Rattus norvegicus: one gene and its partners. The protein of the gene in region 3 binds, or shares a complex with, the protein of the main gene of each other region. Links are inferred from orthologs where the notes say so. Each region holds a gene or a part of one and is shown on either strand. Other genes may lie near its edges.

What was found.
Region 1: Rbm48 (region 3) and Snw1 share a complex: the UniProt entries of both Homo sapiens proteins name them as parts of the minor spliceosome. The link is inferred for Rattus norvegicus from reciprocal best matches to the Homo sapiens genes RBM48 and SNW1.
Region 2: Rbm48 (region 3) and Cwc15 share a complex: the UniProt entries of both Homo sapiens proteins name them as parts of the minor spliceosome. The link is inferred for Rattus norvegicus from reciprocal best matches to the Homo sapiens genes RBM48 and CWC15.
Region 4: Rbm48 (region 3) and Rbmx2 share a complex: the UniProt entries of both Homo sapiens proteins name them as parts of the minor spliceosome. The link is inferred for Rattus norvegicus from reciprocal best matches to the Homo sapiens genes RBM48 and RBMX2.

The regions. Positions count from the first base shown.
Region 1 is NC_086024.1:112,847,660-112,851,636, forward strand, and holds the start of Snw1 (SNW domain-containing protein 1), read right to left. Parts: upstream 2,801-3,977; 5' UTR 2,743-2,800; coding exon 2,729-2,742; exon of another isoform or gene 1-2,728. UniProt on the Homo sapiens protein: Involved in pre-mRNA splicing as component of the spliceosome. As a component of the minor spliceosome, involved in the splicing of U12-type introns in pre-mRNAs.
Region 2 is NC_086026.1:19,585,701-19,589,715, reverse strand, and holds the start of Cwc15 (spliceosome-associated protein CWC15 homolog), read right to left. Parts: upstream 2,801-4,015; 5' UTR 2,679-2,800; exon of another isoform or gene 2,510-2,678; intron 1,469-2,509; exon of another isoform or gene 1,464-1,468; 5' UTR 1,461-1,463; coding exon 1,330-1,460; intron 827-1,329; coding exon 714-826; intron 181-713; coding exon 92-180; intron 1-91. UniProt on the Homo sapiens protein: Involved in pre-mRNA splicing as component of the spliceosome. Component of the PRP19-CDC5L complex that forms an integral part of the spliceosome and is required for activating pre-mRNA splicing.
Region 3 is NC_086022.1:31,516,894-31,520,393, reverse strand, and holds part of Rbm48 (RNA-binding protein 48), read right to left. Parts: intron 2,762-3,500; coding exon 2,181-2,761; intron 1-2,180. UniProt on the Homo sapiens protein: As a component of the minor spliceosome, involved in the splicing of U12-type introns in pre-mRNAs.
Region 4 is NC_086039.1:132,764,932-132,769,194, reverse strand, and holds the start of Rbmx2 (RNA-binding motif protein, X-linked 2), read right to left. Parts: upstream 2,801-4,263; 5' UTR 2,794-2,800; coding exon 2,789-2,793; intron 2,600-2,788; coding exon 2,484-2,599; intron 463-2,483; coding exon 411-462; intron 1-410. UniProt on the Homo sapiens protein: Involved in pre-mRNA splicing as component of the activated spliceosome. As a component of the minor spliceosome, involved in the splicing of U12-type introns in pre-mRNAs.

The DNA of each region.
Region 1 (3,977 bases), on a different chromosome or scaffold from region 3:
GTCTGTCTTTCCTTCCATTTTTTTCCCTCTGGAGACAGGGCCTCATTGTATAGATCCAGGTGCTTCCCCAGTTCTGGGATTAAAGCTCTCTAGCGGGGTTGGGGATTTAGCTCAGTGGTAGAGCACTTGCCTAGCAATCTCAAGGCCCTGGGTTCGGTCCCCAGCTCCGGAAGAAAAAAAAGAAAAAAAAAGCTCTCTAGTCCCTCTATCTTTCTGCATTATGATTAACTAATCATTTACCAGACTGAGCAACCTGAGAGTAGGAACTGCATCTTGTGCTTCTTTTGTCCCTAACTGTCCCAGCACCCTGTCTGGTAACAGGAGTTGCTCCAATATTTCCAAGAGTTTCACTCTGCCCTTTGCAGTCATGGTTTTGCAACACAGCAGTCTTCCTGCCTTTACTTAAACAAGCCATCTCAAAACCTTTGCCAAAAAATATTAAAGATTTACCAGGAATGTTCTTAAACTTACTTATTAAGGGTCTCACTGTGTAGCCCAGGCTGACCTCAAACGTTTCCCACACACCAAGCAAACAAGTGATACTCCAGCAGACTGCAGCTAGGCACTTCCTAATTCAGTTCAGTCCCCAGAGACTGAGGACTCAATACCACTGGAGTGCCTCTACTTCCAATGACAATTGGAGACTTGGCCACCAGGACTTTGGTTCCACAGACTACATATTGGGGTCCTACTGTTTTAAATATTAAATATTCTCATCAGTTTCAGAGTACAGTTTCATCAGTACAGAGGTGTGATGAGATGGATTTTTGGGTGACCAGTTCCTTTTAATAAAGGCAACAGAAGCTGGAGCATGGTGGAGACCTTAATTCAACTTGGGAGACAGAGGCAGGTGGATCTGTATGACCAGGCCAACCTGGTCTACAGAGCAAGTTCCAGGTCAGTCAAGACTACACAAACAAACACTGTCTCAAAAAACCAAAATCAAACCCAACAACAACAACAACAACAACAACAACAAAAACCCCCCAAACAAAAACCCTTTATAGAAGAGAGGTTCCTGAGCTTAGCCTATTAGTGACAGCATAAGGTATGGATGATCTCTACAGGCACAGACACTGGTACCCAACACCTTCCTCCCCTCTTTGGGTTAGATTCATTTGCTGGGACAGTTCATGATCCTAAAAAGCAAAGTAAAATGAAACAAAACAATCAATCAATAGAACACAGGCCACCAGGTATGTGGATCTCACGGAGGCATTTCCTCAAGGGAGGCTCCTATCTGGGGGATAAATCCAGCTTGTGTCTAGTTGACACACAAAACCAGCTAGTACATTTGGCTTACAATTCCAGGTTACAACCCACTGAGGGATATCAAGGCCGTGAGTGAAATCTCACACACAATCAAAAGCAAGAGTGACTTGCTTTCCTGGAGAGAAGGAAGGAGGGAGGCAAGCAGGCAGGCAAGGCACCAAATAAGATGCTTGCTTGTTGGCAGAGTGGCTTATGCTCATCTAGCTTTCTTAGACCGTTCAGGACCACCTGGTTAGGGAAAGGTGCCGCCCGTAGTGGCTTGGAGCTTCCTGCATCTCTTAGCAAGAAAAACAATCCTCTACAGACATGTCCATAGGCCGATTTGATCTAGGCAATTCTTTTGCCTGATATTGTTTTACCTGGTGTAAAGCAGTTAAAAGCTAACAAGGACAGTGGCTTTTTTTTGTTAAATCCTGGCCTTAAACTATCTTAACGGACCTGGTTGGCCTTAAACCTCAGTGATTTCTCCTGCCTGAACTATTTTCACCTGTGTATCTACTTGTCCATCTTCCCGGTATCAAAAAAATATATTTTATTCTATATATACAACCTATAGGGCAAAGCAGGACAATGAACCTTAATTCCCATAATCAAAATACTTTTAGGATTCATACTGTTATGAGCCAGGAAAAATATTAGAAGTGGGTTTGATAGGCGTTAAGTCAATGTCCTAAAATGAAGACTTCTTTTTTTTTTTTTTTTTTAAACCTTCTTTAAAATCAGACTTTTTTAGCTGAGTTCACAGGGAAAGTTTTTCCACTTGGAGCAGTTATGAGTTACATAACGTTTCGGAGGTCTCCCACTTAGCATCTTAGCTGGGAATACTTTACACACGGTAACCAGGGCAACCAGGAACAGCAAAAGTCGGAGGTGGTTCTATGTACAAAAATTCTAAGGTCCAAAGTTACAGCGCGGAGGAGCGCGCATTTCAGTAAACAGCAGCCCCTACTGCTGTCAATTAAAAAAAAATTGGTCGGTTTTTGGTCGTTTCCAACTCTGCCTTTGGCAAAAATCTTTGTTTCAGAAAAGTGTACTGGAGAAAATAAGAAGCCCAAGGCATACAAGCGGCTGGAAAGCCTCCAATAAATTGGCGAGCTTTGCTCATCAGGAATAAATAAGCCGTTGCTTCGTATCGCAAACACCTCAGCCCGGAGTCCACAGGGCGCTTAATCTGCCGCGCCGCTTACGCGAAGCACACGTGAGCTCCGCAGCGAGGCCACGTCGCGGTTCTAGGTGCGGGGAGGGGGCGAACTCAACCCGGGAAGCCCCTAAGGAAAGACCCCGGCTTCGGTGCGGCCTACTCAGCAAGGAAGCCCGCGAGAGGTTCTAGCTACGGCCTTGGCTAGGCTACTTCTGTGCCCCAGATCAGGTTATAGCCTGAACAGTCCGGAGAGAAAAAGGGAAAAGATGTGTACTCCAGACCCTTCCGTATCGAGGACCCAAATCAACAACCCACCTGGTGAGCGCCATCTTCTTCCGCTTCTTCCTGCGCAGGCCACAGCGTCGCGGGGCTATTCTTGCCCGGGAACGAGGAACCGAATGAAAAATGCTCACTGCGCAGGCGCTCTGACCGAATGGCACTCTGGGTCTTGTAGTTCTTTTAGTGGGAATTGTGGCAGCCTGTCTGTTGAAAATGGGTTAGCCAAGACAATTACCTTAACATTGGAAATACCGAACATCGGTAAACTTTACAGGCAAGAGGGTCTCTGAGTTTAACACATCAGTAGTGACAATAAAAGATATGCTATACAGTCTTAATTTGGGAAACTAATACTATTATCCAATTCCACTATCAGTATGTTCCATGTTAAGAGTATTGAATAGGATACAAAGTCTGGCTGATTGCAACTATAAACCAGCCTCCGTGCTTATAGTTAATAGTTCTGTTAACAGTCATTTATTTAAATTTTGCTTAACGAATTGATTATTTATAAAGCAGTGTGGGGGTGGTGAAAAGAGAGAAGATCCTAGACATTAAGATAAAGGAGTTTAAATGGAACTCAGCAGATGACTTGGAGCCAAAGTACAACTGAGACAGGTGAGAAAGACAATTCTTTCTTCCTGAGATACGGTTTTCCTGGGAAGCCCTAGCTGTCCTGGAAGTGTTTCGATAAACTAGGCTGGGCCTAGATCAGATACTGGCTTGCCTCTACCACACAAGTGTTAGGATTAAAGGTGTTTGCCACTGTGTTCGGCTAAATAAAGATAATTCTTTTTTCTTTTCTTTCCTTTTCTTCAGAGCTGGGGACCAAGGGCCTTGGGCTTGCTAGGCAAAGGCTCTCCCACTGAGCTAACTCCCCAACCACCAATAAAGATAATTCTTAATCTGGCAGCTGTGGCACATTCCATTAATCCCAGAGGCAGATCCTGTGAGTTCAAGGCCAGACTGCTCTACGGGGGAAGTTCTAGGACAGCAAGGCTACACAAAAAACCCTGTATCAAAAGACCAGAAACCAACTGTCTTAATTAGGTTATGCATTTCTGTGAAGAGACACCATGACAATGATAAAGGAAAATATTAAGTGGCCGATGACTTACACATTGAGGAGTACAGCTCATTATCATCATGGGAGCATCTAGGCAGACATGGTGCTGGGGGGAAAGGTGAGAGATCTGCACCCAAAATGGAAGACATCAAGGAGAAACTATACTGTCTAGCCATGGACAGAACTTGAGTATATATGGATTTCCTCAAAGCCCCGCCT
Region 2 (4,015 bases), on a different chromosome or scaffold from region 3:
GGCAGAGGCCCACAGTTCCAGCACTGAGGCGGCTTGAAACAAGCAAACAAATAAACACAAGCTAACCCAAACCCAAACCTAAAACACGTACATCTGTGAGAGGATCGTCAGCATCAAGGTTGGCAGCAGGAATCTGGTCTAAGCGGGGCTTCTTGGACACCGAAGAGGAAGTTGTGTGTTCTGAAGAAAACAAACATTTAGCATATTGAAGTACATACTGGATTTTAAGTAACATTTTAGAAACCTTTGGGCAAAAAGAATCCACACAAAGCACAGTGACAGCAGGGACCCACCCTGTGACGGGCAAGTAAGTCTCTGATAAATACTTGTTGGTTAACATGGGGTGAATTAGTGAGCACGCAGATCACAGCGTCTCAGGAGACTAGCCAATGCTCACATGTGGTAGAAACATAAAAAGGGTAACTGATGCTTCTCTCAAAACTCATCAATTACATGGGGAGTCCCAGACAGAAGGCCTCGGGCGGGTTCCAGCTGCTGTAAAGTCAAAGTCTACTGACAGGAACTGAAAAATGGTTTTAAACACTTCAGGTCACCATGTCTTCAGTACCAATGCATGACAAGATGGGACTGGAATAAACCTCATTATTGTCTCTTATCAAAGAGGTATAGCTCACAACAATGTTAATTGTTTCCAATCACCAGGAAACAGTTTGCATCACATAACTATGTGACACACGAGGGACAGCAGATACCTCGGGTTGGACGGTCCCTATTTTTCTCCCTTGCAGCAGCTCTCTCCCTCTCTTCCAACTCTCTCCTGAAGTCACGGTTGCGAACCTCTTCAGGGGCATCCTGTGTGGTTTGTCTTAAGTAGAAAAACAAAACAAGCCAAAACAGGTCAAAAATGTTGCCCCCAGTTGTCAAGGAAAAGAACCTATATGGCTATAGCAACTTGAGACAATTCAGAATGTAAGTGTCAATCAAGAACAAAACGGAAGAGGACAATATCCCAATCAGAGTGCTATTAATACACTCGTGGGGTTCCGTATCACACAACTTCCTACAGCAGGACGTCTCTTGAAAACAGTCCTCCACTCAGGGCTGTTACAGCAACTCCCATACTCACTCAGAAGACTGAGCTGGTTATCATGACTAGTGAGGGCTTCATCCACACCAGCAATCCCTGCTCAATAGGAACTTATGCTGAAAGACCGTAGAGCACTTTACAACTACAGCAAATAATTGTATTGTAAACTTTTTGAAAGCCTTTTCTTGGAAGATCGGTAACTTAAATACTATTAATTTAGACATGATCATAAGTCATGGTTGGTTCCATTCTGTGAACAGGACAAATGAAAGGCTTCTTACCTGTACTTTATCTTTGTATGAGAGGGAAGGTCTCTGCTTGAATACTGCTTGGAGAGCTGGCTCAAATCACCTTCTCCTTTTCCTCTCCCACCTCTTGCAGGTTCAAAAGTTGGCCTGGCTGCTGTTGTCATCTTCTATTCTTTGACAAACATGGGTTTAATTATACTTTCATTTTATAGATCATTCATAATTACCTGTCCTTAAATCATTCTCAAAACTCTCCCCAGAACTGCTTAAGTAGTTTGCTTCAGTACAAGTCTCTAAAGAGCAGAATCATGAAATTCAGGGTGTTTACTAGATATGCACTGCCAGGCAGCTCTTATTTGATATAAATAACTACTCTGAAGGTCTGAGTCTGTGCTTCTGTTTTAGCTGGGTAGCCCTGCGCAAGTCTCCTAGCTTGATTCTATCACTTGTGGAATGTTGATACTTCTATAGAATTATTATGAGATTTCTGACACGTGATGTCAGATCTTGGACAACAGTGTAGTGTGGCTTTTAAAATAAATGACTTAAATTTTTTTTTTATATCCCACTAGCACTAGGTTCTCTGAGATTTTGTTTTATTTATTTTTTATGATAGGATCTCACAATGTATTTCTGGCTGAATTAGAATTCACAATGCAGATCAAGCTGGCCTAGGACTCTCCAGAGATCTACCAGACTGCCTCTGCACTGCTGGAATTGTCCGGCCAAGATTTGCATTTTTATCAGAAACCTCACACTACAGCAAATGGACCAATAAAAAACAAATTTCTTTTAAAGTTACAGGCAAACTTATTGAGTGTCTTAGAGTTTGTTTAAAACCCAATGACATTTACACTGGCAACATTACCCCAGAATCTTGTTGATTCAATTTCCCTCTAAAGCAGTTACCGCAACATTCGTAAAGCTTTGGTAGGCTGTAACTTAACGCAATCCTAAGAAAATCGGAACTCCACTCAACCAAACATCAAGAACTGGGCATGACTGGGTACTACTCCTGTGATTCCAGAGCTTGGGGGGTGAGAGCAATAGAATCGGGAGTTCCAAGCTAGCCTAGGCTACCAGAGAACCTTTTGCAATTTTTAGCTGTCAAATAAGAATTCCAGCCTAACTACAGGGCTACTAAATCTCCGTTAGCTTAAGCAGCATGCTCAGACAGACCGTGTGGGACGTGGGAGTTTCTACCCCATCCTACCCTCCTTTGCTTTTCTCAGTGTCAGCGGTGCCGCGCCGGTGACCGCCCCGAGCTCGGCTGCAGCTCCCGACCGCCATTCCAGCACCGCGGCCCGGACGATAGTCACGGCTCTCCGACTCCCCGGTGCGGCCCGCACAGGGACCACAAACCACTATGCCCTGCTACTCACTGTGGCGGGGGTTCGACGCAGTGCCTTCAGAAGCTCACTCACGAACCATTGCGACCCTTAACTCCCAGAAATCTCTGCGCAAAACCGGAAGCAAAATGCAGAACTTCCAGTCTCTACACCTGGGACTCAACTAAGACCCGGAAGCAAAATCTTCGCGCTCCCAACGGCTGTGTAGAAGACGCGAACTCCACACCCGGAAGCAAATCCCGAGTTGGTTTTTTTTTTTTTTTTTTTTTTTTTTTTTTTTTTTTAACCGTCTTTTAGAGGCTGACCCAGTGACCAATCCGCAGAGACACGGGAAAAAGATGGAGTGACGTCGCCTAGGGGCGGAGCCAAGGCTGCTTAGGGGGCGGGCGTTTGAAACCGGTGCTTCATAGTCGACCCCAAATATCATCTTGTGCCTTTGAGAACCAATTACTTAATCTCTCTTGCGTCTTTTCCTTTCCCGACCCCCTCCCAGACTCTTTCGCTGCGGTTCTGCGAGGACGGAAGGCGCCAGGAGCCGGTCCGCGTCTCGCAAGCGTTGAGATCTGAGGAGAGCTTGCCAACTGACCGACCCAACGGCTCCTGCTCCTCAGTAGACCCCGCAGCCTAGGGACTAGAGTTGTCACTTAAGTGGATATGAAGAAGGCGCAAATAAGTACGGGGGCAGCCACGAGCTTTCCAAAGGTACCATTCCTGCGAAACCACTGGCCTTGAAGGCAGGGGTTATAGTCGCATTGCTTGTTAAGATATATAAATATATATATATATATACATAGCTATATGCATTAAGCGTTGTAGTGTGAGAGGAGATGCCGTGAGCGTTTACGATAGTGAGAATTTATGGAACAGTGGGCCTAACTGCCAGGAGGAGCACGAGATGGGTAAGATGGCTTCGCCAACGTTGTCTTGGTGTCCATCATTGAGATTTTGGGGACGGCCAATGCTCGATAAAGAGAATTCTGTTCTCCAGTTTATCTCAAGTGGAAGGATCTCCTAAAACTGAACATTTCAGTTCTTCCCTGACCTTCCTTTGGAACTTTTAAATGAAGAAAGAGAATTATAAAAGAACCCCCCCCCAATGTGCCTCCCCTGAAAGTAGAAGGTGAAAAGCTTCGTTTCTTTCTTTTTTTTTTTTTTTTTTTAATTTATGGAAGGTGTGCACCTCTCTCAGCCTCACACAAAGGACGCTGCTATCATATTAGTGGCTCCAACCCAAAGCTGGAGACCCTCTACCTTCCCTCATCACATCCTGTTCACTTGCCATGCTTGCCCAGTATTGTGAAAATTACCCTGAGCTTCCCTTCCCTGTTACTAACCCTCAATTCAGGCCACTGGCATTTTCCTCTTGGATT
Region 3 (3,500 bases):
CCAGAAGTAATCCCACATAGCCACAGCTACAACATTTTTTGACAAGGGTATCAAAAACACATGGAGAACACACACACACACACACACACACACACACACACACACAAACACACACACACCACACACACACACACACACACACACACCACACACCACACACACACAAACACACACACTCAAAATGTACTGAGGACTGTAACAAGCTCTCAGACTACCAGAGGAAAACAGGAAGAACACTTCAAGAGACTAGGCAAAGATCTTTGAAATGGATTGTAAAGGAACAGATTATGATGAGCAAACTGACGAATGGGATCACATGGAACTGAGGAGCTTCTGCACAGCAGCACAGTCAGGAACGTGAGTGAAAGAGCCTGCACAATGGGGGGTCTGTGCCCAATGACACAAATGAGGCCTTCATGTCGAGCATCTACAAAGAACTGCTGAAAGTTACACACTAAAGACAAGTGATCCGGTCAATAAGCAGGCTAACAAGCTGAACAGATCTCAAAGGAAGAAACACATATGGCCAACACAAGTTTGAAAATGTCCAACATCATTAGCAACAGGGAAATGCAAAAGAACAGATTAGGATGCTATCTCACCTCAAACAAATGCAAATTGAAACAACATTGGGATTTCACCTTAGCCCAGAAACAGCAGGATACAGATAAAATCCTGGTTTTACAGGTTGTTTGGTTTATTTTTGAACAGGTGTAACTTTGACTGGCCTGACCTGACCTGGAACTTACTAGGTGGACCAGGCTGGCTAACAGAGATCTCAGCTGCAATGGCTTCTGAATACATTGTTGTTATTCCATTACCAAAAATAACTTAATAGTAGGGCAAAGGCAGGATAAGACCACCTTGATTTGAGATGGGAAAATACTAGAAGTTGTGGTTAAGTATATGAAGTATGTTTTTGTTGACCTGTTATTTCTCTGGATGTAGAGTTTACACTTAAATGCAGTTGGTCCTGACTGAGACAGCCACGAGTCTGTGTGCCTCAGTGTAGTGCACCAGAAGGAAGTAAGGTGCTGGCATATATCGAAAAACTTAGGGAGACTTAAAAATAAAACCACATTCATACACTTTACCATTTCAACTAGGTGGAAACAAAACTCTAAACCAAAACAAGACAGAGAAGCACCTCCTCTCCAATCACTTCTCCAATCACACTGCAGAACAAGAGGGCGCCACGTGAGCCCCGTGTGAGCCCCCGTGTGAGCCCCCGTGTGAGCTGGGCTGACCAGGGAGTTAACTAAGAAAATGCTTACGGCCTTCCAGAAATGATTCTGAGGCCCATCCCACTCCACAAAAAGCTTTCACAAGCTCCTGCAACTGTTAACTTTCTTTTGTGTTTACAGAATGGAAAATAAAGTAAATAACGGGAACGGGGGTTAGACAATCTGATCTCTAACTATTCAGAGCTTTGATCTTGACACACACAACTGAGTGTGGGCAGGCACAGACTCAGTTTTTAATAATCTCACTTTGTGGGCTGGGGATGCGGCAGTGATGGAGCATTTGCCCAACACACAAGTCCCTGAGTTCGGTTCCCAACAAAATTAAGTGATTGATCAAAATCATTCCTTTTATGAATATTTGACTCTGATGTAATCTGCAGTTAGCTGAATTTTAAGAGAAATAATCAATTATAACTGTCAATTTTTGCTTATGCTATTACTACCTAGGGAGCTGGCTTTAAATAGGGAAGGGAGGAAAGACAGTATCCGGAATCAGCTGTCATAGTCTGATTGACTGGACATTTAGCATTTTGTACCTATACTGACATAAAATGTATCTGTTCATTGTTAAGTCAAGGATGACTGTAAAGGGAGCTGGAGAGATGGCTCAGTGGTCAAGAGCACTGACTGCTCTTCCAGAGGGCTTGAGTTCAGTTCCCAGCAACCACATGGTGGCTCTCAACCATCTGAGTGGGATCCGATGTCCTCCCTCTTCCTGCCTGTGTGTCTGAAGAGAGTGACAGTATACTCACATACATAAAATGAAATGACTTAAAAAAAAAAAAGATAGATATTGATCAAATTTGATATTTTAGAAGATAACAAAACCAAATAATTACAAAGTTTTAGTTCCTCCAAATTTCCTATCAAGTTGTTGGTCTCACAATTAATTAAAAACAAAAAAAACAAAAAAAACAAAAAAACAAAAAACCTCACCTCTTTAAGTTTACTCCGAATTAAGTTTGCCGTTGTATTCAAGGAGTCATCCTGCAGATCTACTGTGGGAATACCTGGTAACTTAGGTCCAATCAAAACCTCGTTACTGCTTATGTTTGTTTCAAGAAAAGTTCCAAGTTCACGATCACAGTCTCGCCGTCTTTTCCTCTCCTGCAGCTGTGTTGTCCTAGGCATAAATCTGCCAACTGCCTGTGAAGTAGCAATGGCCTCTTGCACACTAGAGCAAGGGACGGAAGTTTTGTAAGTGTTCATCTGTAGTTTTGGGGGAAAGGCACTGTGGTCACGGTGCTTCTGCAGTTCACCACGGTTCCTAGCACTATTGCAGGAGTCTGACGCTTTGTCCGTGTGCTCCCCAGGTGAACATGGGCTTTTGGAGGCAAAATAGCATAAAGGGAATTCACAAGAGTAAGGAAGACAAGGACTTGAGTTCTCTGAAGGATTCTTGGGAGATGTGTTTAAAGCAGGTGTACAAAATCCAGGCATATGTGCATGGAAGTCTTGTCTAGAATCTTTTGTTCCTTTTTGCTCTGGAACTGGTTTCTTCTTGGTCACATAATAGTCTTTACAGTCATAGTTTTACAAGTTGAGGGAAAGGGAAACAAATCATTAATCATTTTGAACATCCAAAATCTTAAAATTCTAAAAACAAACCTTAAAATGCTAAGAAGCTCTACTCCTAAAATGGTACCTCTAGAGCAGAGAATACAGTGATAAGGCTTAAAGGCTTTTTGAAAGGATTCCATGGGATACTGCCAAGTGTCACCTACTCATCTATCTAGAATGTCTTACTTTTCTCTGGAGCCACTTGAAAAATAATAAAACTTGCTGCTGATCAAAAATTGTTAGTTTCCCATAATGAGCAACATGTAGAACCAGTCTGTAAACCACAATTGCTTCTTGCTGCCTTCATGTTTAAACCCTGGGCCACTTAGCCTGGGACACAAGGCTTCATAATTTGCTTCTTGTCTACTTTCCTAATCTCTCTCACTAAAACCTTGGAACTCTGGTTACTCTGTAGGACTTACAGCTCTTTAAATGTATGGTGGCAATTTATCTGCCTAAGTTTAAACGTAGCCTGGCTTACCTTGCCATCCTTTTACCCTATTTACTACTGAATACCATTTACGACTATTTAACTCTCCCATGCCAGAGGCAATCTCCATGAATCAACATTGCTCCCTTCCCGGCCCAGACTCCACAGTGGGGCACAGACCCCATCAGTTCAAGTCACCGAAGAACGTGACTGAGTAGGAATTCCACAATGACACACATACCTAGCAGTGCCTGACACACAGGAGT
Region 4 (4,263 bases), on a different chromosome or scaffold from region 3:
AGAGAAGGGGCAATACTGCATCTTCCTGAATGCCTGTCTGTTCCAATGTAAGCCCATGCAGAACGAAGCTCAGTAAAAATGACAGAAACGGACTAAAGTCCCTCAGACAGACTCTCAAATGATCCAAGCTTTGGGATCTCCCATGTGGTAATTCTCTGGAACCTTATCTAACCTGGGACTGAGCTAGACTCTAGCCTTCCCCATGCATGGATGTCATTCAGCCTAGAATTAAATGGTTTTCATGGCTTTTTGAGGCAGGGTCTCACTCCAAGTGATCTTCCTACCTCAGCCTCTTATAGAGGTGTACAACTCCACACCCAGCTTGAAATGCTTTGTTGCTGTTACAAAAATACTCTATGGAAGCAAACTGTTCTATGCACCCAGGAGATAGGTAACAACAGAGGACTTACTGTGAGAACACACAGATGATGTCTCCTTCTGTCAGTTCATAAGGAAGCCCTCCTAGAAGAAAACAAACACTTGGGTTCAACAAACATTAAGCAAGTGTTTACTGCATGCTAGGCACTGGAGGTACAGATTAAACAAGCCACAATCTCAAATATATCAGTCTAATCCAATGATAGAATGAGTGGGTATAGTGACAGTAGTCCGGAAGGAAAGTAATTAACTCTCAGATCTCTGTGAGTTCCAGGCAAGCCTGGTCTACACAGTGGTTTCATAGTAAAACTCTGCCTCAAAGAAAGAGAGAAAGAAAGGAAGAAAGAGGGAGAGGGAGGTACAGAGGGAGGGAGGGGGGAAGAGAGAGAGAGAGAAAAGGAGGGAAGGAGGGAAGGAGGGAGGGAAGAAGGAAGGGAGGGAGAGAGAGAAAAAAAGGAGAAAAGGAAGGGAAAGGAGGGAAAGAAAAGAAGAGAAGAGAAAGAGAAAAAAATAGTAACTCTGAGTGGAAAGGCTGGGGTCATCACTCACCAAATTAATTTTATCTTTGAATCCTCACATCCAAAAATCCTATAAAGCAGGTGATTTCCTGCACAAGACTCAATCTCATAAACAGCAAGTTTAAGTATACTATTATTACCCTCACTTATGTGCAAGCTAAGATTTATAAGGGATAATATTAAGCATTTCATAGGAAACAATTTCCCCTCCCTCCATGTTTTCCCTCAAGTGTAAAAATGGGATGGTATCATATTTGCCTCACAGGAGTGTTAGAGAAATAAAGTAAAATGAGGAATATAAAGTGCTTAACACAATACCTATTACAACAGCCTCTTTCCAAAGGTAAACTGCAGGATTTTGGTTGGGACATAAAGTGAATACAGGATAATAATATTGTCACCAGAGAGTTAAGAGTTCCCCTTTTACAAAGGCTAGTAATGTCTTATCTTGATAATATAATTCTAAAGCAGACTAAGGAGGAAGCTTGAGGTCCATTTTATTAGCATTTGAGAGAGAGCTGATAGGGAAGCAAGTTGTAAGCTTCAGCAGCTACTGGGATGAAGGAGCTGCAGAAGAAGCAGCCATGCCTTCTGAATTAGCGGTCAAGCAAGCAGCAATGCACAGAGATGGAGGTAGAGGAGTGGTTCAAGGGGATAGGAGAGCCTTTAGATTTGGAATGAGACAGTCCAAAGTGTTCCGGGCAAGCATGTTCAGGATTCCAGCCAGCATCCAGAGAATGGACAGAAAGGGAGGGCAGGGGATAAGTGAGAACTCAGAATAACAGGTAGACTTAACACAGAGACCAGTAACAACTGCACTGGGGATCATTTCCCTCCCATGTCCTTAGCGTGTCTTTAGATGACTGAGCTTTCCTGACAGGTGACTCCTGGCCAGAAAATTTAAAGCCTGTTGGATTGTCTTAAGGAAGGGGAACACAAGCATGTAACATTTAGGATTCCTGAAAATGTCCCGGTATCTACCCAGGGCCAGGGGTGTAATCCAGACTGTATTCTTTTCATCAGTAGTTTTCCCTTAATGAACAACAAAGCTCACATCCCTCCACATTTTCAGATAGCCTTTCAAATGTTAAGCAGGAGAAACCCTCAATGTCGTCCAAGCCAGTTAATGTCTGTTCTGGTACCTAACAATACAACAAAGAACTGGGAGAAGCAGCCACTTACAAGAGGAAAATAATTCTGAGAAACGGCAGATAATAGACATGCAATAAGGACTAAGAACACAGCCCTATAGTTTTGAGTGATGCAGCACCTTAAGCAAGCCCAGTAACCCCTGTGCGCCTCAGTTTCCTTGACATCACTATGGGTTGCCTGGGGAGTTAACTGTCTCTAAGCAACCAAGTGGCAAGATTTTTCATATAATGAATGGCAAATACCAATTTCTAAGCAGTATCATAGGGGCCAAGTGAAAAAGGAACCTGTGAGCAGACTAGCTGCAAGAGTGTGAGGTGACGAGCAGCGTGTTCAGAGGTGACGACCAGGGGCGCTAAACAACCAGGAGGAAGGGGGAGGAGGGGAGGGGAGGTACAGACTCTGAAAGGCACTGCTAGAGAAAAATGTAGACCTCACCAAGAAAGATCCAGGCGCTGTCTTTGTATTCCGAGTGCCAAGACACCTTTTCTGCCACCCCAAGTTGAACCTCTCGCTCATTCAGTTCGTTGATCAGCTTCACCTTAGTTAAAGGGCTGTGCGGGAGAAGGGAAAGACGTTTAAGTACATTTCCTCACAGCCCGCCTTCTACGTACCGGTCGTCTCCCGCCCCGAGGCCCTGAAGGCGAGGACCTGTCCCCGCCCTTATGGGCGGCCCTCCTCAATCCATTCTCCCTTCCTCAGAGAAACTCCCTCCCCTGTCCTCAGAGAAACTAAATCCTTACTTCATATTCGCATCTTCGCGCTCCGCTCTTAAGACATCAGCTTCCGGGTGAGGCTCCGAAGCGCGCGCGCAACCCGAACACTCAGCTCAGATTGGAGCCAACGGAAATGGAGGCGGGACTTCCGGCGCGCTAAGCCTCGGCACATGCGCAGTAACGCAAACGCGCTTTCTCACGCTTTTGCTCCAGGGGCGAAATAGTTCCCTAGTTATTCCCTGCTTCCCTTTTTGGTGTAGCTCGAAGGTGGGAACCTGGGCGTTACAGTGGATCCGTGTGCTTCTGCAGTCTGAATTAAATGCCCACAGATTTAAATAACGGATGTGGCCTTTTTCCAGAGGCAGGCAAAAATTAGCATTGTCAAATTAGTACCTAACAATTGAAGAGTTAGAGAATGTAAAGGTTCCAAATGATAGAAAATTTATGCATGTTGTCTCTGTTAGGTCTCAAACCCAGGCTAAGTCTCACACCAGTGGCTGCCCCTACCCTAAACCTCTGCCTCCAAGGGGCTCAGTTTCTGCCATTTTCATTTTTCATTCAATCTCTGTTTCTTTACATACAGGGTTTCTTTGTGTAGCCCTAGCTGTCTTGGACATCGCTCTGTAGACCAAGCTGGCCTCCCAACAACCCCATGAAATACAGTTACCACCCCTACTTTACAGAGGAAAAAAAAACTGAGCTTCAACAAATTAGCTTGAATGTCTAGGGAGGTGGTTCAGTGGTTAAGACCATTTGGTGATTTTTCCAGAGAACCTGTATTCAGATCCCAGCACCCAAAACAAGTGGCTCACAACTCCAACTTCAGAAGATCCATCCTCCTCCTCTGGTTTCTGTGGGCATTTGCACTCCCATGGCATGCACAGATATACATACACATGAGTAAAACTAATAAATCTTTTAAAATTTGCTTAACTTGAAATGTCTTGAGCTTGTACCAATCAGGTCAGGCTAATTTAATCATCCCTTATTGAGCATCTAAATTTGTTCTGTACAGTTGGTCTATAGAAGGAATCTGGAGGACTGGTTTTCTGCATGCATAGAACTAATGGTATAAGGGGAAATCTATATGTACTTGAATACTTCATATCATAATTATCATATAATTAATAATTATTCATATCACAATTATCCAGAAATCAGTATGTAAACAGAAAATAGGAGTTCCTTTTTGTGAGTGTTAGGGTCCAAGAGTAGCAGAAGAATGATACCCCCCAGACTCAAATAGTATACAAAAGCAAAGAGTGTTTATTCAGCAGAATTTCCTGCATGCAAGAGTCTCCCCATTTGGAAATGAAAGCCTAGGTGTGTGCTCTGTAGGGTCAATTTAAAGTCTGTCAGGGTAGGGTGGGTGACATTTACTTTTCTTTCCCTTGATTGGTTGGCTGGTGTGGGTGCTTTTGTGATTGGTTAGGGCTCTGTGGACTTTCCAGGGTGGCAAGGCATCATCTGATTGACTGCCTGCTGCTGTGGCTGGCTGAACA